7 linked regions of the Sus scrofa genome follow. The protein of the gene in region 2 interacts with the protein of the main gene of each other region in a pairwise test. Links are inferred from orthologs where the notes say so. Each region holds a gene or a part of one and is shown on either strand. Other genes may lie near its edges. The genes, in order: melanoma-associated antigen B18-like, LNX1, RAD51D, NADK, ACAT2, RPIA and NUDT14.

Region 1 (2,875 bases), on a different chromosome or scaffold from region 2:
TAAATCTATTAAATTAAATCTAATAAATATGTAACTGAAATAATTAATAAATTTAGATTCTGCAATTATTTCTACCTTCTATTAAAGAAACAACATTTAAAATATAACCAAAGGAAAGAAAAAGTGACAGGAAGGAAGGGAGAGAAGGAGGGAGGGAGGAAAGAAAAAAGAAGGGACAAGAAAAGGAAGGCAAAAGATTAAACTATAAGTTTACCATAGAGAACAGAAACACAAAGATGATATACGCTGTGTTCTTTCCAGACCCACTGGTCATCCCCCACTTAAAATGTTACTGCTCTTTTTCCACAAGGAAAACAATATTTCTTAGATTTCATCATTCGAAATACAACCTAAAGAAAGAAAAAGAAAGGTAAAATTCCAAGTTAGCAATATATAACAGGAATACAACGATGATATACTTCTCAAGTCCCACCCTAGCCCTCCACCATTAGAACATTGCCACACCTTTTCAACCAAAAGTGAAGAACTGTCCTCGGACTTCACTTAGCATGGGAGAGGTTGCTGGCTGTGGCCCTGGAGCGCACACTGGCCATGGCCGCAAGTCGAGCCCTGGCTGCAGCTCTGGCTTGGGCTCTTTCTTCCTCATCTCTCAGAGCCTCTTCGTACCAGGATGGGAATGCACTGGGCACAGTATCATGAACCTTGGCTAAAAACTCCAGGACTTTCATCTTGCTGGTTTCAGCATGTGCCCTTGGGCCCCATAGGAACTCATATCGAGGAGGATCACTGTCAGGAACCTGACGGTACTCCAGGTACTTTAGCTGCACCAAATCTTCAGTGATAACCTTCTTGGGATCCCCATAGAGGAAGTGCTTCCTCTCAGCATATACACCCATCATATTCAGCACTTCCCAGATCTCCTCTTCAGGGGCACATTTGCCATTCATGAAGATCACACCCAGTACAATCATTAGAAGGCCAGTCTTGGGCATGTTCTCTTCTTCATTCATCGTTCCATCAAAGGTGAGGTCTAGTTTGCTGACAAGGGCATAGCAGTGCCTGGTAGGATCCACTTCCTTCAAATCAACACCAAAGGCCAGCTCCATGTGCTCAGAGGCTCTCTTGAGGATCTCATTGAAATGATATTTGTACTTTTTAATAACAAACTTCAGCATGTCTGCCTTCGTAATTGGCTCTTTTTTTTGATACTTTTGCAACAGGAACTGTACCAACAAAACCACCTTCTTGTTTAAAGGATCTCTGCGTGAGCCCTCAGTGCCCCTGGAGGATTTTGAGCTTTCCTCCTTTTGGCTGCTGGTACCTTCATCCGAATTGGTGCATGAAACAGCTGCACTAGCATCGGTGGTTCCCTGTGGCGCCTCAGGAGTGCTAGGTGTCTCAGCAGCAGATAAATTCTGAGGTCTGTCCTCAGTGAGAGCATGGACCAGGGACAGGGACTCTCCTGCTGCTGCGGCAGTAGCCTGAGCATCTTCCAGACCCTGGGTCTCAGCACGGGCCTGGCGGCGTTTCTCACGGGCTCGGAGCTTACTCTTCTGTCCTCGAGGCATGATGACTTTGGTCAGGGACAGTAGGCACAGTTGTTCAAGCAATTAGGTTTTTGGAGAGGTCGCCCTAGAAGACAGAGAAAGAAATGGTGTGCACAGCCTCAGCAGGGAGATTCTTCCACCTTGGCTGCCAAGAAAAGCTGCCTTTGCTGATTTTCTTAGGGGTACTGTTTTAGGAAACCACAAAACAAGGGTGGTGAGACTCTGTGGACCTCCTCTGATCTGCAGAGGCTTGTGATCTCAGTTCTAACCCAGTATACTAAACTTGGCTCCTGACCAGTCTTTTAACTCCTCCTGCTCTTGACTTGAGGCTGCCCCTTCAGACCAGGGCTTCTCACACCACAAATTCTCCCACTGAGAGTTGGGGAGGGGCATTGGGCCTAACAGCCCTGTTTGAGCCCCTTGGGGTTAAGGGTGGGGATGGAACATGTCAGAATATGGCGGGACTTTGCGAGGACACCTCAGTGCTGGGAGGAGTCTGTCCCTTCAGTTCAAACAAAGATTACTCACCTTGACATCAGTCCAATCCTGGAACTCCTCCCTCTGCTGATATGGGACCACACTCCTCAGACCTAGGCCTAAGTTTCCATGGCTGGTGTGGCAGAAATCAGGGTGAGCACTTCTTGCCACGCCCACCCCATCCTCCCAGCAGGAGTTATAGCAGGGGTGGGGTTATGGGGAGTTCTATCTCGGTTCTGGGAGACTGAGGAATCATGCAGAACTCTGGAAGGAGTTTTTCGTGACTCCTGACAGGGCCTGGGACTTCTTCCTCTCCTGAGATAAGTCAGCTGGCCTCTGACCAAGGTTCTCATTTCACTCAGAATCCCAGGTAGGAAGTAGGGGGGCACCTGAGTCTAATGGGACTGACAGTAGGGGCCCCTTTGTGGCCCCTTAATTTGGGGGGTTCCTCACTCAGTCTTCACTCAGTCCTCACTCAGTGTCTTACCTTGATGCCTTGTAGGTGCTGGGTTACTTCCTTGCTGATTCAGTGCGAAACCTATCAGGTAAGGCATAAGCCCGTAAATAATTTAAGAAGAATTGACATCTGTACAATATTCTACTCACCATAAATAAACATAATATTGTTCTATTTGAGTCTTCTTTTACCTTAGTGCATCAGTAATTTTTTTTTTTCTATTTGCTTCCATAAAGATCAAGTTTGTTAGTTCTCTTTTTAGGTGTATTTGGGATATCAATGCTATTTTGAATGGTGTTATTTTCTATTACATATTCTAATTAGTTATTTGTTTTGTGTGGAAAGAGTCTTGGTTTTGGTGTGGTGATCTTCTGTACCAGCTTGCTTAAGTTCCTTATATATTTTAATATTTGGCAGCCAGTTTCTTTGGTGT
Region 2 (3,500 bases):
GCTGTAGCCAAAGGTCTACAGCACAGCCACAGCAATGCTGGATCCAAGCCCTGTCTTTGACCTACACCACAGCTCAGGGCAACGCTGGATCCTTAACCCACTGAGCGAGGCCAGGAATCGAGTCCGCATCCTCCTGGATACTAGGATCGTCACCACTGAGCCACAAAAGGGACTTCCTAAATTTCTCCCTTTTAAAACTTAGTTGAAAATACCATACCTCAAAGGATGGTTGGGCTTTTCCCAAAGGTTTCCTGTGCAGAGGCAATTCTAACAATCATGGGCCAAATTAGGAGACATGCTTTTCTTACATAAAAAGACAGGCAATGCCTACTAGGAAATCTTTTAGGGGACTGTAAGCCCCAGAGAAAGCTTCTTGTCATTTTTTTCAGTATCTTTCACAATTTGAATGCACACAAAGGAAATAAGCTAGTCACAAAGGACAGACACCAGCAATGTTTCTTATATGAGGTTTGTAGAGCAATCAAATTCATAGAGACAGAAAGTAGAATGGTGGTTATCAGTGCTGGAGAGGAGGGAATGGAAAGTTATGCATTTTGCTGTTGTTTTTCTACTTAGGGCTACACCTGCAAGCAAATGGAGGTTCCCCGGCCAGGGGTTGAGTCAGAGCTGTAGCTGCTGGCTTACACCACAGCCACAGCAACCCCACATCCTATCTGCATCTGACTTACACCACAGCTCATGGCAATGCTGGATCCTTAACCCACTGAGGGAGGCCAGGGTTGGAATCCGCATCCTCATGGATACTATTTGGGTTCATAACCTGCTGTGCCACAGTGGGAACTCATTTTTTTTTTTAATGGATGTGAAGTTTTAGTTCTGAAAAATGAAAAAAGTTCTGGAGATGGATGCTAGTGATGGATGCACAACAAAATGAATGTACTCAATGTCATTGAACTGTACACTTAAAATTCTAACATGGTAAATTTTATGTTATGTCTATTTTATAGAAAAAACCAGCCTATAAGCACAAGCGTACACTCACATCCCACAATTTTACCACGTGCTCTTTCCTCATATGGAACCACAGCCGTGAACACCTAAAACGTTTCTTATTTTGAATGAATACTGTCTCTGGTTGCAAAGCAGAAGGCAGAGAAAGGACCATCTCTGAGCGCACCTGGGCCTCGGAAGGCCCCGCCCTTTCAGCCACCATGAGGGCGGGGCTTCTCAGGATTGGCCGAGGAGGAGCCCCTCCCTACCTTGTTTGAAAGTGATGCTCCAGGTCACAGCGCTGCAGCACCTCCTCACAGTGCTCGGTGAATGGGCAGGTCACCAGCAGCTTGTTGAGGAGCTTGTTGACCAGGATGCTGGATTTCTTGCAGTGCTGCAAGACCACAGGCTTGCGGTCCACGGGGCAGAAGTCCTTCTCCACCAGGAAGTTGGTGAGGCAGACTGTGCAGTACGTGTGTCCACAGGGAGTGTCCAGAGGGTCCAGCAGTGCCTGCAGGCAGATGTGGCAAATGAGGTCATCGTCCACCTCTTCTGGGTAAGTGTAGAAGTGGTTTTCCTCGGGGGAGTGGGCTTGGCCACACACCACACATAGGGGTGCAGGGCTGAGGTCCGGTTCATCAGCGGGGTCTGACAGGTTCATGGTCAGCTGGGCAGCAGGGCAGGGCAGGAGCACAGGAAACCAACCCCGGGGATACAGTATTTCCTCTGGAGCAAATCAAGATCTTCTTGGTGCCATCCACAAACCTGAAAGAGAGCAAGACTGCTCACTGAAGATGCTATCATGGACGTGAGGCAATGCGGCTAGTGGACAGAACTGAGCTGAGCTGTGCCCCAGGTAGGCCAGGGTGAGTGCCCATGAGCTGTGCCCCAGGGAGGCCAGGGTGAGTGCCCACGAGGGTGACTGAGGTGACCTGGGGCCAGCGGCTTTGCCTCCTTAGGCCTCAGTTTAACCACCTATTCCAGTGGGAATAATATTTACCATTAACATCCTCCTGTTGGTGCGATGAAAATCATTTGGGTAAAATCTGCGATGTGCCCAGAAATCTGCCTTCTGAAATGTAAATTGTTAATCCAATAGACCAATGATCTATAAAATTCTCTGTCAGGAGTTCCCATCATGGAGCAGCAGAAATGCATCTGACTGGGAACCACGAGGTTGAGGTTTTGATCCCTGGTCTTGCTCAGTGGGTTAAGGATCCAGTGTTGCCGTGAACTATGGTGTAGGTTGCAGATGTGGCTCGAATCTGGTGTTGCTGTGGCTGTGGTGCAGGCCAACATCTGTAGCTGCGATTGGACCCCTGGCCTGGAAACCTCCATATGCCATGGGTGCGGCCCTAAAAAGCAAAAAAAAAAAAAAAAAAAAATATATATATATATATACACACACATATATATATATACACATACACACACACATATATGCACACACATACATATATACATAAATGTACATACATATATATATATATAAAATACACACACACACATATATATAATATGTTCTTTGTCAGATCAGGACAAGAAGAAGAAACAGTAAATGCTCTGATGGCTTTCTCTGATTCTTGCCCCAACTTTTCTCCAAAACTCAGAAAATATGGGACCTCAGAATCTTCAACTAAATCATCTGAGGAACTAGGAGCAGTTGAGGCTGTTGTAATTTATGGTGATGAAAGCACTGTTTTCTGCTGTGTGCCTTGCATTTATTCTAGTCATTAGTGATGAAGTAGGTTCTGGAGCCACATGGCCTGGGCCATTCCTACCACCACTGTGGGCCAATGATTGAGGCCTTTGTTTCCATAGCTAAAATGAGGGTAATAATAGTGACCTCATGGGGTTGTTGTGAGTATTAAATGAGATATGAGACATAAAGCTTTTATAATTATGCCTGGAATATAGTAAGGGCTTTCTAACTATTAACTATTCTTACATGCATTGGCCACTGAAGTCATTCTATCTCCAGTCAAGCTTAATTGGCCTGTAAACTGAAAGTTATAATTCTTATAAGGAGTCTTTTTGCTTCGTTCTAATAGTATTCTTTTTTTTTTTTTTTTTTTTTTTTTCCTAGGGCCACACCATGGCATATGGAAGTTTCCAAGCTAGGGGTCAAATCAGAGCTACAGCTGCTGACCTACGCCACAGCCACAGCAACATGGGATCCAAGCTGCACCTGGGACCTACACCACAGCTTGTGGCAATGCTGGATCCCCGACCCACTAAGTAAGGCTAGGGATCAAACCCGAATCCTCATGGATCCCAGTCGGATTCATTTCCACTGAGCCACAGTGGGAACTCTTAGTAGGCTTCTTTCATTCAATTATACGTATGTTTATTCAAACTGGTAAAATTCTATCACACTGTGTACCTCCCTTTGGTATAGGAGTTTAAGATGGAGTTTTTAACATGCCCAGTTAACATGTAGGAAGTCTTCTGGATGATCAATCAATAAACATTTTTTTTGGCCTTCAGTTGTTTTTCTTAATGAGCTGCAGGAGAGTGAAGTTAGAAAAAATGATAATCATAAACTTTGT
Region 3 (3,981 bases), on a different chromosome or scaffold from region 2:
AGTGACTTTGTCTACAGGCTCTATATCCAGAAATCCTAGGCAGCAAACCTCATATGTCTTAGCTGTGCAGGCACAGGAAAAACCCAGATGGTTCATAGCTCACATATACCCAGGTTTACTGCTAAAACTCTAAATTCTACTGAGCCCTCACCCCAGTGTCATCACGTCTTGAGGGATAGTGGGTGCTTTCAGAGGCAGACAGAAATGGGCCAGATGTTTCTGTTCTCAATGAAACCACTTCACAGTAGGGAAACATATACACAACTTGGGGGTGGGGAGGGGGCGCTGTTAAAACAGCACTGGCTTTGCACCGAAATATAAATTCGTCTGCTCCAAGTCCAGCTCTGTCCTTACAGGCTGTGAAACCTTTGGCAAGTGACTTTACTGCACTGAGCCTCAGTTTCCTCGTCTGTAAAATAGGGGTAAATACAGAACCTACCTCACTGGATTGTAAGAGGATAACCTTGTAAAGTTGTTTTCTCTCTTCCAGAGGGTAAGGTTAAGAAAAGATCTTTCAAAATACCAAATCACATGGTGTTCCCATCGTGGCGCAGTGGTTAACGAATCCGACTAGGAACCATGAGGTTGCAGGTTTGATCCGTGGCCTTGCTCAGTGGGTTAAGGATGTGGTGTTGCCGTGAGCTGTGGTGTAGGTTGCAGATGGGGCTCGGATCCCGCGTGGCTGTGGCTGTGGAGCGGGCTGGTGGCTACAGCTCCAATTAGACCCTTAGCCTGGGAACCTCCATATGCCATGGGAGCGGCCCTAGAAAAGACCAAAAAAAAAAAAAAAAAAAAAAAAAGTGTGTGTGTGTGTTCTATATACTCAGGGTTTTTACTGTTGATCATTCAAAATTACTTTTATTTGGAAAACAGAAGCAGATGTCCTCTCTGCGCGCTGCTGCTTTCAAGCACCTATCAGACGACTGCTGAGGATCTGATTAGATTCTTTGTCACTGTCTTCCCTCACCAACAGGTAGGTCCCTGAGAGTAGGGATGGTGGGTCCCATCCAACGTTCTGGACCAGCGTTCATTATGGAAAGTGGCACCAGGGAGGCTGGCGAGGAGGCGTGATGGGGAAAAGGCAGGGGACCCAACTTCGTGCCGCCCACGCGGGGCCGCGGGAGCCCTCCCGTCCGCCCGGCGGTCGGCAGGTGGCGCCGCAGGCCAGGCCCTGGAGCCTGGAAACCGGAAGCGGCGGCGGGGCCGGGCAGGCAGGCTCCTGGGCGCGGGAGACCAGGCAGGGTCCACACCCTGTGCGCCGCCTCCTCCCGACGCCAGCCCCCAGCGTTTGGTCCGGAAGGGGGTGCTGCGGGGTGTCTGGAGAGGGCCTCGCGGATGCCCCCAGGACCAGCGGCCCCGGGGCCTCCAGGGAACATGGGCGTGCTTCGGGCCGGACTGTGCCCCGGCCTCACTCAGGACATGGTCCAGCTTCTGCAGAGCCGCGGGATCAAGACAGGTGACCGTGGGCGCGCGCCTGTGCGGGCCACATGGCTGGGCCCAGCGCGGAGGCTGGCCCCGGCCCTGGCCCACTGGGTGGGGCCCCTCCCCTGCCTCCGACGCCCACAGCCTTCTGGCAGAGCTTGGGAGGGTGGGACTGGGCAAGCCCCGCTCCAGGAGGGCTAGAACCCCCCACTGTGGGCTAGGCGCCGCGCCAGCCCCCGCGGCTCCGCTAGTTCGCGTAGGCGAGGAAAAGTCACGGGCGGGAGTCTGGGGCCTCCCTTGCGCGCATCAACCCCGCGTGTTTTGTTTTCAGTGGTGGACCTGGTTTCTGCAGACTTGGAGGAGGTAGCCCAGAAATGTGGTTTGTCTTATAAGGTGAGCTGGCGATCTCCACACTCCAACATGGGTGTCTCTAAATGCCCATCCCCGAGCAGAGTGTCCCCAGAGATTGATAAGGGGGGGGCTAGGAGACCCTGGATGGCCCCCTCCCTTGGCGGGTCGCTGCCGCACACTCCCGGCTGCTCCGGCAGCTTCCTGAGTTGCCCCGCCCCTTCCGCAGGCCCTGGTCGCCCTGAGGCGGGTGCTGCTGGCTCAGTTCTCCGCTTTTCCCTGCAATGGCGCTGATCTCTACGAGGAACTGAAGACGTCCACGGCCATCCTGTCCACCGGCATTAGAAGGTTTGTGTGTGTGTAGCTGGGGCAGAAGGCGAGAGGCCAGAGGCTCTGGCTGGGCTTTTGATGCTTGAGAAAGAGCAGGCTGCTTCAGCTGTGGTTGAAGGAGACACGGGAGGGGGGTCAGGATTTCTGAGTTATCTTACCCTGTACAGAGTTTCTCTGACTCCTAACCACTTAGGATGCATAATTTTGGGGGTGGCTGTCTTGTGCATATAGTAGGATGTCTGGCAGCATCCCTGGCCTCCACCCCAGTAGATGCCAGTTACACCCCTCTCCTTCATAGGTCATGACTATCAAAAATGGCTCTAGCTGTTGCCAAATGACCCTGGGGGCCAAAATTGCTACTGGTTGAGAATCACTGTCCTGTAACACAAGATGTCAGCACTTCCACAGATATTATTCCACAGATCAGAGCAACTTTTCTCTGGCCCTTTCTGCCCTTTCACTTAAGGATGGGGCAGGGAGTTCCCCTTGTAGCTCACTGGGTTAAGAACCTGAGGTGGGTTAAGTATCCATAAGGATGCATGTTTGATCCTTGGTCTTGCTGAGTGGCTTAAAGATCTGACATTGCTGTGAGCTGTGTAGGTCACAGACGGGTCTTGGATCTGGTGTTGCTGCGGCTGTGGTGTAGGCTGGCGGCAGCAGCTCCAATTTGACCCCTAGCCTGCGAACTTTCATATGCTGCGGGCACAGCCCCAAAAAGAAAAAAAACGATGGGGCAAGAGAGCACAACTGAATACCATTTATTTGAGTGCCTACTATATACCAGCCAGGGCTCCAGCCCTGGCGCACTTGATCCAGAACCTGGTTCTTTCGCTGTACTCTGCAGCAGGAAGGGACAGGAGTGATTTATGTTCTGCTGTGCAGTTTGGAGAGGGAACGCGTTGGAAGAAAACAGGCGGCTTCTGGCCAAGGAAGGCTGACCTCTTTCCTGGCCTGTTTGTACAGAATTTGATAAAGAGCACTGCCACCACCAAGGTCTTTGGATTGGTTTGGCCTTTGCTCTTTCCCGTGCATGTCCTCTTGGCAAGGTTCATATAGCATGGCGCCTGCTTTCTGCAGCTGGGGGTCCAGGTCTGTCATTCATCAAGCACTGGCCAAGTGCCTATAGGTGACAGATGTATGCCAATGATACGAATATGCGTGAGGCAAGGCCCTCGCACTTAAGGAGTGTGGGGTCTGGTGGGTAGAGAAAAGCAAGGGACAGAAGAGAGGGGTGTGGGCACGTGTGTGTTGGGGGTGGTGACTAACAGGGAGCAGCCTTGGCCTTTGGGAATTTATAAAACCAGCCCAGGCATTCCCACTGTGGTGCCACAGGACCAGCAGCATCTTGGGAGCCCTGGGATACAGGTTAGATCCCCAACCTGGCACAGTGGGTTAAGGATCTGGTGTTGCTGCAGCTGTGGCTTAGGATATGATCCCTGGCCTGGGAATTCCATGTGCCATGGGGCGGTCAGAAAAAAAGAAGAAGGGGGGTTCCCGTCATGGCACAGTGGTTAACGAATCCGACTAGGAACCATGAGGTTGTGGGTTTGGTCCTTGGCCTTGCTCAGTGGGTTGCCGAGAGCTGTGGTGTAGGTTGCAGACGCGGCTCAGGATCCCGCGTTGCTGTGGCTCTGGCGTAGGCCGGTGGCTACAGCTCCTATTAGACCCCTAGCCTGGGAACTTCCATATGTCACGGGAGGGGCCCTAGAAAAGCCAAAAAACAAAAAAAAAAAAAAGAAGAAAAAAACCAGCATATACTGAAGCAGCATTTCGGAAACAGTCAGGTGGAAAATTGGCAGAATGGCAGCTGCCATGGGTCACTGCAAGGGACTTCACTGTCTGGGAGGCTCTGTGGAGGAGGCAGGCCTTGGGCAGTCTGGA
Region 4 (3,469 bases), on a different chromosome or scaffold from region 2:
CTCAGGGGCTGCAGTGCCGGGCGGCCCTGGGCGCTGGCAAGGTCCCGAGGGCGGGGGGGGGCACAGCCCGGGGGGCGGGGGGGGAGGGACCCGGACAGACCTGGTACTGCATGACCTGCTTCCCGAGCTCCGCGTCCAGGGCTGTGGCCAGCATTCCGTGCTCGCTGACCCCGTTGGGGACGGCCAGCTTCTTCCCGCAGAGTTCCTTCACGACCCTGACCTTCAGGCGGCTCCGCAGAACAATAGCCGCGTTGCCTGGGGGCCAGCAGGGGTCACGCCCAGGCCGGTCAGCAGGGAAGGGGGCTGTGGCGCCCACAGGAAGAGAGCCCCCCTAGCCAGAGACCGCCCCCCTGCCCTTTCTGCTCCCAAACGAGCACCGCCCTGCCTCCTGTGGAGCTCAGCTCACTGCCCCCGGGCACGTACAGAGGCCTGATCCTGTGAGAGCTCCAACGTCTCACGTCAGGGAAAAACGCTTGAACCACCCCAAACTCAGAAGTCTCTGAGTCCTGAAACACTCAAATGTGGTCCTACGCATCATTAGAAAAAACCCACGCCAGGTAAGAAGACAATCCCGCCTCGGGGACTGCTCGAGGGTTCTGGAACATTCCAACTCACCCTGTATCACCTGAGTAACTTGGGACTGAAAGTTCTCAAAGTTGAAGGGAGTCAGGAAGCCCAGGGAGCCCAAGTGGAACGCCATGACTGGAGGCACGCTGCCCTGTGAGCCGAGGAGGCAGGTCACTCAGAAGCCCCGGAGCCACCCCAGCCCTGACGGACCCTCGCCCGCCTAAGCCCGGGAGGGACGTGCGCTAGGTGCACGTCGGTGCCCGCTGCGGGGAGGGGGCGGACTCAGAGGGGGTGGTGCATGAACGAGGTCAGCCAAGGGTCAGGGAGGCCAGGGGAACAGTGGCGGAGAGCGGGGACCCTGGGGCAGGTTCCGGGAGCGTGGAGAGACCGCAAGAGACAACGGGGAGGAGCAGAGGGGCCAGGGGTGGAAGGGCTGCCCCAAAGGCAGTTCCGCAGCCCCTTGAGAGCTGCTCCCGCAAAGGAGGGAGGAGCAGGTGGGGCGGGGGCGGGGGGGCGGGGAGTGGGGAGATGGGGAGGGCACCCGTGGTGGGAGCTGAGAAACGACGGCTGGGCAGCTCTGAGGGGGTGGGATACCTGCCAGGACCCTCGCTCTCCTCCTCTGCCCAGTGGGAGCCGTGCGCGGTCCAGCCCGGTGGCTCGCAGCACGTGGTGCCCAGCCCGCCGGCACCCCGCTGGGCTCTGACGGTCGGCCTGCAGCTCCTCCCCAGCGCTGGCCCATCGCCCAGCAAGGGGCCAGGCCTGGGGCCTCCTCCCAGCCCAGCCCAGGGGACCGTCAGGGGCCTAGCACAGCTGCCCACGCCTGCAGACCCCATCGCCAAATAATGAACTGAAGAGACACCACAGCCCCGCTGGAGCAGGACCCGGCCCGCACGGCGCCAGCACCCCACCTGGAAGAGCGAGGAGGCGTAGAGCAGCGTCCCGTCGCCGCCCAGGCAGATGATGAGGTCGATCTGGTTCGAGATGTCGTCGTAATCTATAAGCAGAACAGCAGACGCCAGAGCAGCCTTCAAGCGGCCTGGCGGCGGTGGCGGCGGCGGGGCGGCTGCCCGGTGGGGCGGGGCCCGGGGGCAACTCGCCTTCTCGGAAGGTGCAGAACCTCCTCTTCATCGGCCCGAAGTGGTCGTCGCTCACGAGGGCGGGGTCCTCCAGGACTTTCTTCTCCACGTACACGATCATGTTGTTCTGCTGGAAGGCGCCACCCGTCAGCCCGCCGGTAAGACGCGGCGCGGCCTGGGCTGTCCTCGAGAAGCCCGCTCGGCGCCTTGGCCCTGCCGGCAAGGGGAGGCCGCTCCCCAAACCGCCTGCCCCCGCACAGCCCCACTGCACCGGCAGGAGGCGGGAACGCTCCTGTTCCTGCAGCTGTGGTCGGAGCGGGGGTCAGGGCACCGTGGTCCCAAGGAGCCGTGGGTCCGAGGCAAGGCCGGTGCGAGCACGGGGGTGCGGGGAGCTGGCCGCTCGGCGCTCACCTCCATCAGGTACGTGCAGAGCTCCCTGAAGGGCTGGAGCAGGCTGGCATCCCGGACCTTCTTGATGACGAGGACACTCTTGGGGGACTTGTTCCACGTCAACCGCTGGCTGGCAGGGTCCTGGATGTGCCTGGGAGGGGAGGGGAGCATTCACACCCGCCACGGCCGCACTGAGGGCTGTCCTGACACGACCACGAGGCTGCTGAATCCCGGGCAGCGTCGCCCCCCCCAGCACCCCTACCCTCGGCTCCTCCGCAAGGTGCAGCGGGACCTGCCCCCGAGACACGGCGCAGGCGCCCGAACCGGCCCAACAAGGATCGGCGGGGGCAGGACTCAGAGGTGGGGGTGAGCCGCTCGGCTGACCCTTAACCTTCACAGTCAAAACCCACTCTGTTTCAAAGTCAAAGGCAGGATTTGGGGCAGGGAGGCGGCTCTGCGCCATCCCAACGGCTACGAGTCATCGCACGTTTGTCCACAGCTCAGGACGCGCAGCACGAGGTCCCGGAAGGAACTAGGGACTCGGGGTGGGCCGAGGTCCGCGCAGGCTCACCGCTTGTAACCAGCGCCCCCTCTGCGGGGATGCTGAAGGTGGGGGAGGCTCAGGCTCAGGGGGCGGGGATGCGGGACCGCTCCCTTCCCCTCGCTTTTGCACAAACCTAAAACTGCTCAAATAGTTAAAAAATAAGTCCCTGCACCTTGGTCCCTGCACCGGCGAGATCCCTGGGCAGCAAGTCCCCTTGGGGGCAGGGGTGTCCTGAGGCTGAGCCCCCTAGCGGGGGCTATGACTGCCGTGTGTACCCCAGAAATGCCCGCCAGACTGTTGGGAAACAGCCCTGAGATGTGCGTGGCAGCAAAAGACCTGCCCTCTGACGCCAAGTCCCCAAGACCTGCTCCAAACCGTACTTCGAGGGACAGCGCCTCCCTCAGCACCTGATGGCCTCGCCAGCAACTTTCAAAATCGTGATGCGAACCCCTAAAGGGAGGGGCGGGTCCCTGGCCCTGTGCTCCGACCACCCATCACTCACCCTTTCCAGGCATTTCTGCCAGGGGAAGGTCACCCGTTACCTCCTCTGCCTGGTCTCAAGCGGGGCCCTGCGGGGGCTGGGGCTCTGTGCACAGCATCTCGGCCATGCTTGGTGAACGGCAGGAGAGGAAGGCAAAGCAGCGCCCCAACTCCCCACCTGCACCCTGGCTCCAAACACCTCCTTTCTGACCTGCTAACACAGCGCCTTGCGAGAGGCCGTGTCCAGAGCAGCGTCGGGCGCCTCCTGACCTAAATGCACACCAATCAAACTGCCTTCTCTCCTCCTACCTCGGGGGGACCCTCCTGGCGAATCGCCACTGAAAACAAACGCCACGCCCGAGCTCTGCCGCCCCGGGTGGTCCATTCCCGGATGGTCCATCCCATCGGGCTG
Region 5 (4,139 bases), on a different chromosome or scaffold from region 2:
TATCATGAAAATGCATTAACATCTGTTTGATAAGCATTAAGCAAGTCCCTACTGTGTGTCCAACACTGTCCCAGGTGCTAGAGAGAATAAGACTGGAGTTCCCGGAGTTCCCGTCGTGGCGCAGTGGTTAACGAATCCGACTAGGAACCATGAGGTTGCGGGTTCGGTCCCTGCCCTTGCTCAGTGGGTTAACGATCCGGCGTTGCCGTGAGCTGTGGTGTAGGTTGCAGACGCGGCTCGGATCCCGCGTTGCTGTGGCCCTGGCATAGGCCGGTGGCTACAGCTCCGATTCGACCCTTAGCCTGGGAACCTCCATATGCCGCGAGATCGGCCCAAGAAATAGCAACAATAACAACAACAACAACAACAACAAAAGACTGGAGTTCCCCTTGCGGCTGAGCAGGTTAAGAACCCGATTAGTATCCATGAGGACTCAGGTTCAATCCCTGGCCTAGCTCAGTGGGTCAAGGATCCAGCATTGCCTTGGGAGCTGTGATGTAGGTCGCAGATGTGGCTCAGATCTGGCGAGGCTATGGCTGTGGCCTAGGCTAGCAGCTGTAGATCCAATTTGACTGCTAGCCTGGGAACTTCCATATGACACAGGTTCTGCGATAAAAAACAAAAGTACAAAAAAAAAAGAGCGGAAGAAAAAGACAAAACAAGACCTCTCCCTGGGAGCTCTGGGAGATTAGACTACATTGAGGATTGCGTCCACGGGAAATAGCCAGAGCTGAGACTGGAAAGTGACTGGGGCCAGGCATTGAGGTTCCCAAGGAAACTGACAGATTTTGAACCTTGCCCAGTAGGGGATAGGAGATTGGAAAAGGTTTTAAACAGAAGAGTGATCCAACCTGTTATTAACGCTCCTCTCCTTCCAGACTGTCCCTCTTGTCAACCAGAGGACCCCTTTATCTGGGGGACACTGAGTCACTGCGACTTCCTCACACACCGCTACAGCTCATCTTCCAGGCTAAGAAGGCCAACCCCACAGAAGGGCGCGGAGTCCAGAGAACCAAGTCAACCCCTAAGTGAATTAACACAAAAGAACTTTGGAAGCCACGAGAGCGAGCAAAAAGCACATGAGAACCGCCCGCAGGCCTGCAGGTGGCAGGACTCCACCTAAGCTCAAAATAGACAACCTTATCCCCCCAAATAAAAACGTCAAGACAGGAACGACAACGCCGGGCTGCTCAGATTAAACTCCACACTGGCGGTGGGCTTAGGCCTGTGTCCGAGGTCCACCAGCGCGTCCTGGGACCGCGGCCCCCTCAGCCCCGCCCGACTCCGCCCTCGCGCCTGCGCATTGGCGCCCGCGGAGGAGGGGGCGGAGAGCTGTCTGAGGCCCCGCCCCCCGGGTTGCCTTCTCAGCCGCAGGGCGGGGCTTTGCTCACTCGCTCGCGGCGTGGAGTCCACACCAGCTCGGGAGGAGCTCGATTGTGCAGAAGGATGAGTGCAGGCTCGGACCCCGTGGTCATCGTCTCGGCGGCGCGGACCGTCATAGGTGAGCGATCGGCAAGCCTGGCGGGGGTCTGAGCTGAGAGCTCGGCCGGGCCGGATCTCAGGGACCCCACCCTTCCCCGCCCCCCGGACTTCCCCCCTCGCCCTCCGGGACCCTCGGAACCCGCCGTCTCGCGCCTTCCTCGGCCGGTCGGGTTTCCCCGCCCCCCTCCTCGCCTGGTGAGGGCCTGTCTATTCCGAGTGCTTTGATTGGCTTCCTGGGTGGGACCACTGCGCCCTCCGCCTGTCCCGTTGCGAGGCGAAGAGAGTCGCTCTCTCGCGACGCTCCTCATTGGCCAGCTCCTGGAAGCGCCACCTCGGCCCTGTGGCCACAGGCGCATGGAGACGGTGGACCCAGCCGGGTCGCTGGGCAGGAGTCGCGTTAGGTAAAGGAGGATTAGTGAGAATTGCCCAGTGTCGGTGTAGATTTCAAGAGTCCCGGATGCGCTAGAGTGTCAACCTTTTTGTTAGGGAGGCGTGGGCTGCGCCCATCCTCTCAGACTTCGGGAATGGATGGGCAGGTTTTCTGCAGGTCCGCAGCCTCCCGGCGCGCCCTGGGGGGCACCTGCCCGGGGTGCGTCTGCTGCGAGTCACACACGCCCCTCTCTGTGCCCGGACGAGCTGCGGTGGGCGCCTGTGCAGGGGGAAAGCGCCGGTCCGCCAGCTCCCGCTGCCCTGGGCGCCCTCCCCATTGCCCTCGCCTTCCCTTCTGTTCTAGGCTCCTTCAATGGTGCTTTGTCCACCGTTCCTGTCCATGACCTGGGCTCGACTGTCATCAGAGAGGTCCTGAAGAGGGCCAATGTGGATCCCAAGGAGGTATCAGAGGTCATATTTGGACACGTTTTGACAGCAGGTAACTCCACAGTGACCCAGGCAGAAGTCAGGTTTATTAGAAACAGCCCATTAACCCTCCCCTCCAAACACACAGAAACTTAAGTTCTTGTCTGTGCACGTTTGCTGACGGCGTTCTCTCTGTTAGAATACTCCGTGGTGTCCCTGTGCCAAGCCCCATCAATAGCTTCTCTCAGCAGAACACTAAGCGTCTTTAATATACTTTTCCTTAGGGGTTCCGGTCGTGGCTCAGTGGAAGTGAATCTGACTAGCATCCATGAGGACGCAGGTTCAGTCCCTGGCCTCGCTCAGGGTTAAGGATCCAGCGTTGCTGTGAGCTGTGGTGGACCGCAGACATGGTACAGATCTAGCGTGGCTGTGGCTGCGGCAGTGGCAAAGGCCAGTGGCTACAGCTCCTACTGGACCCCTAGCCTGGGAACTCTATATGCCATGGGTGTGGCCCTAAAAAGAAAAAAATAGAGCGATCCTGGATCACCATCTTTTCCTGCTTTTTCAGTTTTTAGAAGCAGGATCAGCCTGAAGCATGAGAGAATGTATATGCAGGGCCTTTCATAGTTCCCTAAAGTGGGACACATTCAATAAAAATGTATTGAAATTCTTTGAGGAGTTCCCTGGTGGCTCAGTGAGTCAAGAATTCTGCTTTGTCACCGCTGCGACTTGGTTTTGGCCTGGGAACCTGTGCATGCCATGGGTGCGGCCAGAATCCAACCCAACACAAATCTCTTGAGTTCCAAGCAAAAGCTGTGCAAGGTGGTGGGAATAGGGCTTCCCCAGAACAGGTCAGGGCGGTTCCCCGCCCACACACGGCTCGCTTCTGAGCTGGCAAGGTGGGTTCTCCCAGGGAAGGGCGAGTCACCACCCCTGGATGGGCGGGCACCGGTGAACCACCTGGAATGCTTCAGCTTACTTCTGATTCCCGCTGGGCTTATACACCTACGGCCACTGATAGTTCCTAGCTATTCCTAACTAGTTTCTCGTACACTCGGTTGCATAAATTCTAATTATTCATAGGGATAATGGTTCATGCTTACAGCCAACCTTGGTCCTGACCTGATCTGAGACCTGGCCCATTTTTCGGTGCATCTCCTTCGTAGTTTTGTAGTTCCTCTTCCTCATTCTCCTTCACTTGGCCTGTGGACAAATCAGGCACGCCACTTGCTCCAAGGCATTAAATAGATGGGTAGCACCCCGCTGGCTGCTCTTAGGCCACTTCCGCCTTTCTTCTTCCCAGACCCTCAGCTCAGCCTCGTCAGTGGCATAGCGGCCTCCACCCCTGGTTTCTCTGTTACCTCTTTCACATCTCACCTCTGTGGTATCTTCACATAATTCTTGTTTTTTTTCTTTCTTTTTTTTTTTTTTTTTTTTTTTTTTTTGGTCTTTTTGTCTTTTTAGGGCCACACCCGTGGCATATGGATGTTCCCAGGCTAGGGGTCTAATCGAAGCAATAGCTGCCGGCTTACTTCACAGCCACAGCAACGCAGGATCCAAGCTGCATCTGTGACCTACACTACAGCTCAAGGCAGTGCCAACTCCTTAACCCACTGAGCAAGGCCAGGGATCGAACCTGTGCCCTCATGGATACTAGTCAAGTTTGCTACTGCAGAGTCTCGATGGGAACATAAGAGGTTTCTTTTTTTTTTTTCTTTTTTGGCCACCCCACGGCATATTCAATGCCTGTGCTAGGGATCATTCCAGCCACAGCCGTGACCTAAACTGCAGCTGCAGCAACACTGGATCCTTAACCTGCTGTGCTGGGCACCTGCGTCCCAGCGTTCACAAGACACCACTGA
Region 6 (3,500 bases), on a different chromosome or scaffold from region 2:
AATCATCCAAAAACTAACTGTAGTTGCAGTCAGAACTATATAAAAAGGTGGAAACATAACAGGAAAAAAAAGCAACTCATCTGTAATTCTACCCTGATGAATTTTTATTTTGCTGTGTTTTTTCCCGGCGTTTTGGTGACTTTTTAAGTCATAGTCCCAATCATGGTGGTTGTGCAGAGCTCAGACTCTGGCTCCCTGTGTAGCTGAAAAGCCAAGAAGAGATAGTGGGGGTTCTCTCATGGCTGGGGCCACACAATAGCCCAGCACCTCGCCTTTGTGGGGTTCTTAACTGGGCTCCCACCCCGCCTCCTCCAGTTTGCAGAGGAGTCCCGTTTCCTTGCCCTTGACTGTAGTGTTTTCTGTCACCGTTTGTGATCCTCAACTCTAGAAAGTGCCCAAAGCTGTCGTGGATAAATTAACTAAAATTACTCCCAGCCTGTTTGCTCTAGGACCTGTCTCTGCTCCCTGTCTGCTGATGGGGCTGCCTGAACCCAGGGGGTGCATTGTCTTCGTGTTACTGATGGTTCCTAATGTGAAGCTGTGGGAGTGTTGTACCTTGGTGGTGGTCTCTTCTGTTGCTGTGGGGTGTTTTTTTTTGGTCTTTTTGCCTTTTCTAGGGCCACTCCCTCGGCATATGGAGGTTCCCAGGCTAGGGGTCCAGTCGGAGCTGTAGCTGCCGGCCTATACCATAGCCACAGCAACGTGCCATCTGAGCCACATCTGCAACTTACACCACAGCTCACGGCAACACCGGATCCTTAACCCACTGAGCAAGGCCAGAGATCGAATCCACAGCCTCATGGTTCCTAGTCGGATTTGTTAACCACTGAGCCATGACGGGAACTCCCTGCTGTGGTTTTTCACTCTGATAATAGCTAAGAATCGTGGAGTCCTCACTGTGGGCCCCCATTGTGAGCTCCCACTGTGCTAAATGCTTCCCCATGTGGTTTATAAACTGCCTTATGAAGCATGTTTCATTTTCCCTTTTTTGCAGTTGATGAATCTGAGGCTCACAGAAGTTAATAGCTTCTCTGAGATCTAAACCCTGTGTAGCTTTAAGACTCCAGTTCTGACTCCAAGCTCCTGCTCCTTATTGCTTTGTAGCACTGCCTTCTAGGAGCACAAGGCGGGGGTACTGGTTAGAACAGGTTAATTAAGTATTGGTCTTTGGTTAGCACTTCTGCTCTTCTACCCCTTTCTGTCCACCTGTATCTACATCCTCTGTAAATGTGGGAAATTGTCTTCTAGGGACCTGTGGTGACAGATAATGGAAATTTTATCCTGGACTGGAAGTTCGACCGGGTCCACAAATGGAGTGAAGTGAACACAGCTATCACCATGATCCCAGGTAACGTGTGCGGTGCTCGCTGAGCCTGGATGCCCATGCCCCTTGGAACTGTCCCCTGCCTTGGGCAGCAGGAGGCATCATGGAAAGAATTTCCTTTATGCAATGGCTAGGGATTTTAACTTAACACTTTTGCTTTTTCCCCTCTGGGAATAGTCATAGCTCACCCAGCAGCTTTGTTATTTGGCAGTTCACAGCCTGTTTCAGTAGGGATAGGTCTGGAGCTGACGGATTGTCAGAGGGGCCTGGCCTTGAAATCAGCCCACCCTCTCCCTGCAGGAGCCTGACTGCAGCCTCTTTGTTTTTTGTTTTTCTTTTATTTTTTAAAGTTTTATTGAAGTAGACTTGATTTATAATGTTGTAAAAGTAGGATTGGTTCATTTTTTTTTTTTTTTTTCTTTTTCAGCCACCCTGTGGCATGTGGAGTTCCCGGGCCAGGGATTAGATCTGAGCCACAGCTGGGGCAATGCTGCATCCTTAACCCACTGTGCTGGGCCAGGAATTGAACCTGCGTCTCAGAGCTCCAGAGATGCCTCCGATCCTGTTGTACCACAGTGGGAACTCCTGCAGCCTCTTTGATTTTGGCATGTTCTCTGGGAAAGAGTGACTCTTTCACCCACATGCATTAGGCACCTGCCACAGGCAAGGTGCATGCCACGTGTTATGGGGCATCTCCCGCCCGTGGAACGTAGGGTCTGCCTCAGGAAGAGTTAACAGAGCCTGGAGGGAGCTGTGCCTACAAATAAGACAGAGTGTGGAATGCCAAGAGTCTGGAGTTGCTTCTTCCACAGAGGAGTGGTGACTTCTGACACTGTGCCAAGTGTCTGAAAAGGTCTCGTTTGGTCCTAACTTAATGAGATGGTTATAGAGGAGGACGCAGGTCGAGGACATGTGTGCGTGGCTTCTCAGCACCAAGCTGGGCGCCTTGATTGTCTGCCCTAGACCCTGGCCTTTCAGCCCTTTCCTCAAGAGCCAGATTGGGGAGGGGTCGTGTGACACAAGCGTGCGGAGCAGTGGGGAGCCTCCAGTGCAGCTTGTACTGGGGACCTGGGGCTTGGCTGGAGGGCAGTGGAGAGGTGATTCTGAGTCCAGGCCAGAGGTGGTATTGGGGGCTCCTACGAGGGATTTAAAAGAGGAGGCAGATGTATGAGGTATCCGACTTATGATATTGAGCCACTGAGATTCTAACCGGGAATGTTACACGACGTGAAATATTCTTGGGCCAGAATAGGCTGATGGGTCTAATAGATGGGTAAGGTCTTTAGTAGATTGTAGTGTCTGGTCATGGATTCTGGAGCAGACAGCCTGGGTAAGGATCCAAACCCAGGCTCTCTCTCTGTGTGGTTCGTTTCTCTCTCTCTGCCTCAGTCTCTTCTCTGTAAAAGACGCTGCTGTCAGTACCTACCTCACAGGCTTGTTGGGAGGATTAAATGAGTTAATAGGGTGCCCAGCACACAAGGGAGTGTTTGTTGAATGAATACATTGCTAGGAAGAAAGGATACTGTCTTCATCATTAATTAAATGTGCTAGATTAGATTTTAATGTATCCATGCTCTTGGGAATTAAATACATATAAATGTATGAAGTGAAAAATATATAGCCATGTAATAATAAAGAGCTAATTCTTCCAATCGTACTTTAATTTACTATTTTAATCTTTTAGTGACAGTCTTTTTCCAGATTTACTAAGTAAAAGAGATGGGTAGATTTATGCTTATTCTCTCACTTGGTGTTATCTTTTTATTGGAAGAACTATGGAACCAAAAAGGCAGGAGGAAGGGGAGTCTAGAGGTCACGGTTAGTAATAACAGAATTAGCCCCAGTGATCGTGCAAACAAACAGCTCCCCGGTGCTGGCGCTTGTTCCTCTGTAGGTGGATCCTTGCATTGCCCACTCGGTAGCTCTGTTGCACCTGCTTAGACCTTTGTGGGCTTATTGAGACGTTGAGATGTCCTTCGTGAGCACATTTCTCCCATACTTTGCTCTCCACCTCACTGCATCCTGAGAAGCTGAGGGTTTTTTAAGGGATGTAAAGTGAAGGAAATGGCAAAAGAGAGGCTAGACGTTACATTGTTTAGTGCGGTGTCACCAGGGTCATCAGCATGGTCTGTTCTCTGTCTCCTTTTCCTCCTCGGTCTGTTTTAATACTTGCTGC
Region 7 (2,421 bases), on a different chromosome or scaffold from region 2:
GGGGGAGCGCTCGGCTCCAGCCCCTTCCAGGCCAGCCTCCCCACAGCCATTCCTCATCTCTAGAGCACAGGCTGAGCAGGCTACACACTGCCTAGGGCCCTCCCTGGCTCCCGAGTACCCTCAGCATCAGGCCAAGCCCAGAGGCCCGGCTTGCGGAACCACAGCAGCCAGGGCTGCCATCCCCCCGCCCCATGCCTTTGCCACGCAGCCCCTCGGCCGGGACTCGGCTCAGACTCACCTCCTCGGGGGACCCCAGCCGTCCAGGGCACCTCCGCCTGCCCCCGGCTCGCCCCTACCCTACCTAGCTCAGGCCCCTTGGATTCTCCCCCCGCCCCCCAAACCTCCAGCCCAAAAGGCTCCAGGGCCGAGTGGCCACCAGTGGGCCCCGTGGAGGGTGCCTGCACATAACCAAGACCCCTCTCCCTGAGAGGCTGGATCCTCCGACGTAGAAATCCCACACTGAACGGGGAGGCGCCAGGCCCTGGATCGTCTCCTTCGGCCAACTCCGTCCCCACGCTCGAGGCCCTGTGTGTTTGAGGCAGGGCCCCACCCTGAGTGGCCCCTGCGCTAGACTAAAGGTGGCAGAGCTTCCCGAGGCCCCCTCCCCGTCTGGAGAAGGTCGCCAGGGGCTGGTGCTCAGCGTCGGGGGCACTTCTCCTGCCGGGGCTTCACCGGGGTCAGGGACCCATCGCATGTCCCCAGGGGAAAGGCAGGCTTCGGGCCACCATCCTGTTCTGGGAATGTGGCCCCAGTGTGACCTCCCGGGAGCGGGTGCAGGCGGGCACCTAGGCTCTGAGGGGCAGCCCTGACGTCCAGGCCCCGGGCTGCACTTCCTCCCCTCCCAGGAGGGCCCGAGCCCCACCCCCCCCACCAGCCCCGGCCCAGGACTCTCCCTCCCCTCACTGCCGAGCCGCCGTCCGAGCAGACCTGTGACTCACCCCACCGCCAGTGCCCGGTGCTTAATCCCGCAGGAAGTGGAGGCATCAGTCAGCAGCAGCTGCCACCCGAGCAGGCCCCACACGGCTCGGGGCTGCGGGGGGCGGGGGGCTACAGAACAAGGCCCTGGAGCCCTGGGTTCCGGCCTGGATCAGGAGCTGAAGGGCTGTCCAGCCAACCTTCCCAAACAACTCCAGGCTGCAGAGCAGGGATTCGCCCTGCCTGGCACGCCTCTGGGGACGGGGCGCTCCCTGCCCCCCGGGCAGCCCGGCCCAGCCCCTGCGCTGACTACGGGACCCCACGGCCCAGCCCCACTCACTTGTACGAGGCGACCCGGCGCAGGTCAGAGGGGGCCAGGCGGTAGCCGCACTCCTCCCAGGCTTCCTTGCAGGCAACTTCCTCCAGCGAGAGCCCGGGCTGATCCACGAGGCCGGCGCACAGCTCGAAGGTCACCCCGGCCGAGCCGGGCAGCGCTGCCGGCAGCTCCCGGGGCCTGTCCTGGTCGGCGGCGACCAGGGAGCCGGGGAAGAGGCGCTCCACCGCGCCAGCATACACAGCTGGGCGGGGGCGGCAGACCGCGGTCACAGCCGGTGGCGGCCCCCTCCACGTGACCGGGGGCGGCCTCAGGCTCCCCACGTCCGCGCCCTGACCCGCGGGCCTCCCCTCCCCGCTCCCGCTCGGGCCCCCTCACCTGGCCGGAACTGCTTCACCAACACCAGGCTCCTCCGGGAAGCGTTGAACATGAGAAGGGTCACACTGCAGCGGGGACAGTGCTCAGCGCGCCGCCCTGGGGGCCCCGGCGTCCCATCTCCTGTTCCCAGCATGCCCAGCCCACCGCCTCTCCTCAAAGGCCCGGGAAGGTGGGGTCCCTTGTTCAGAGGGACACTGTGAGGCCAGGCCGGGTCAGAGGTCCCCAGGGTCGCGCAGTCAGGCCAGGACCCAGGCCGAGGGCACGGGGTGGAAGGACACGCTGGGCGGCCGCTGGGCAGGCTGGGGGCGGCAGCAGCTGAGAACGGGTGACTGACAAGACATGTGGCCCCTGCTGGCCAGCTGTTGCCAGCTGTGCTCCTGAAGCCACACTGCCACCCGGCCCACACCCCCAATGTCAGGGGCAAGGGCACCCGGGCGGCCTCTCTCGGGTCCCAGAGGGCCCGTCGCCCACCACGGTCCAGGAGGTCTGAGCTCGGGGCCCAGGCCTTGGGCTGACCCCCCAGTGAAAGGAAATGAGGGCGGGGACTTCAGAAATACAGGGTCCCCGTGGGCATCAGGCTGGGGCTTCCCCCGTGGCCAGCCCGGCTGGGACCTCACCTGTCATGAGTCTTCACAAAGTCCCACGACTTCTGGGTGCCGTTCTGAAAGAGGCGGGCAGCAGTCAGGGAGGGCGGAAGGGCTGCCAGTGCAGGCGGAGGTGCTCCGGGAGCTGAGAGGGCCACGCAGACCTGCCACACCAGCTCCGACCAGGGAGACCCAGTCACCGCCCGGGTC

The links.
Region 1: the proteins of LNX1 (region 2) and melanoma-associated antigen B18-like interact in binary tests that used the Homo sapiens proteins (3 or more experiments, as listed by UniProt). The link is inferred for Sus scrofa from reciprocal best matches to the Homo sapiens genes LNX1 and MAGEB18.
Region 3: the proteins of LNX1 (region 2) and RAD51D interact in binary tests that used the Homo sapiens proteins (3 or more experiments, as listed by UniProt). The two-hybrid records come from large-scale screens. The link is inferred for Sus scrofa from reciprocal best matches to the Homo sapiens genes LNX1 and RAD51D.
Region 4: the proteins of LNX1 (region 2) and NADK interact in binary tests that used the Homo sapiens proteins (3 or more experiments, as listed by UniProt). The link is inferred for Sus scrofa from reciprocal best matches to the Homo sapiens genes LNX1 and NADK.
Region 5: the proteins of LNX1 (region 2) and ACAT2 interact in binary tests that used the Homo sapiens proteins (3 or more experiments, as listed by UniProt). The two-hybrid records come from large-scale screens. The link is inferred for Sus scrofa from reciprocal best matches to the Homo sapiens genes LNX1 and ACAT2.
Region 6: the proteins of LNX1 (region 2) and RPIA interact in binary tests that used the Homo sapiens proteins (3 or more experiments, as listed by UniProt). The link is inferred for Sus scrofa from reciprocal best matches to the Homo sapiens genes LNX1 and RPIA.
Region 7: the proteins of LNX1 (region 2) and NUDT14 interact in binary tests that used the Homo sapiens proteins (3 or more experiments, as listed by UniProt). The two-hybrid records come from large-scale screens. The link is inferred for Sus scrofa from reciprocal best matches to the Homo sapiens genes LNX1 and NUDT14.

What each region holds. Positions count from the first base shown.
Region 1 is NC_010461.5:22,081,666-22,084,540, reverse strand, and holds melanoma-associated antigen B18-like, read right to left. Parts: upstream 1,625-2,875; 5' UTR 1,530-1,624; coding exon 501-1,529; downstream 1-500. UniProt on the Homo sapiens protein: May enhance ubiquitin ligase activity of RING-type zinc finger-containing E3 ubiquitin-protein ligases. Proposed to act through recruitment and/or stabilization of the Ubl-conjugating enzyme (E2) at the E3:substrate complex.
Region 2 is NC_010450.4:40,346,535-40,350,034, forward strand, and holds part of LNX1 (E3 ubiquitin-protein ligase LNX), read right to left. Parts: intron 1,717-3,500; 5' UTR 1,613-1,716; coding exon 1,221-1,612; intron 1-1,220.
Region 3 is NC_010454.4:40,052,996-40,056,976, forward strand, and holds the start of RAD51D (DNA repair protein RAD51 homolog 4), read left to right. Parts: upstream 1-1,181; 5' UTR 1,182-1,335; coding exon 1,336-1,456; intron 1,457-1,753; coding exon 1,754-1,815; intron 1,816-1,999; coding exon 2,000-2,118; intron 2,119-3,981. UniProt on the Homo sapiens protein: Involved in the homologous recombination repair (HRR) pathway of double-stranded DNA breaks arising during DNA replication or induced by DNA-damaging agents. Bind to single-stranded DNA (ssDNA) and has DNA-dependent ATPase activity.
Region 4 is NC_010448.4:63,849,620-63,853,088, forward strand, and holds part of NADK (NAD kinase), read right to left. Parts: intron 2,185-3,469; coding exon 2,055-2,184; intron 1,774-2,054; coding exon 1,665-1,773; intron 1,562-1,664; coding exon 1,476-1,561; intron 719-1,475; coding exon 616-718; intron 256-615; coding exon 101-255; intron 1-100.
Region 5 is NC_010443.5:7,610,062-7,614,200, reverse strand, and holds the start of ACAT2 (acetyl-CoA acetyltransferase, cytosolic), read left to right. Parts: upstream 1-1,339; 5' UTR 1,340-1,446; coding exon 1,447-1,501; intron 1,502-2,215; coding exon 2,216-2,350; intron 2,351-4,139. UniProt on the Homo sapiens protein: Involved in the biosynthetic pathway of cholesterol.
Region 6 is NC_010445.4:57,359,449-57,362,948, reverse strand, and holds part of RPIA (ribose-5-phosphate isomerase), read left to right. Parts: intron 1-1,248; coding exon 1,249-1,348; intron 1,349-3,500. UniProt on the Homo sapiens protein: Catalyzes the reversible conversion of ribose-5-phosphate to ribulose 5-phosphate and participates in the first step of the non-oxidative branch of the pentose phosphate pathway.
Region 7 is NW_018084979.1:3,291,497-3,293,917, forward strand, and holds part of NUDT14 (uridine diphosphate glucose pyrophosphatase), read right to left. Parts: exon of another isoform or gene 2,376-2,421; intron 2,289-2,375; coding exon 2,245-2,288; intron 1,693-2,244; coding exon 1,628-1,692; intron 1,494-1,627; coding exon 1,256-1,493; intron 1,071-1,255; coding exon 939-1,070; intron 1-938. UniProt on the Homo sapiens protein: Hydrolyzes UDP-glucose to glucose 1-phosphate and UMP and ADP-ribose to ribose 5-phosphate and AMP. The physiological substrate is probably UDP-glucose. Poor activity on other substrates such as ADP-glucose, CDP-glucose, GDP-glucose and GDP-mannose.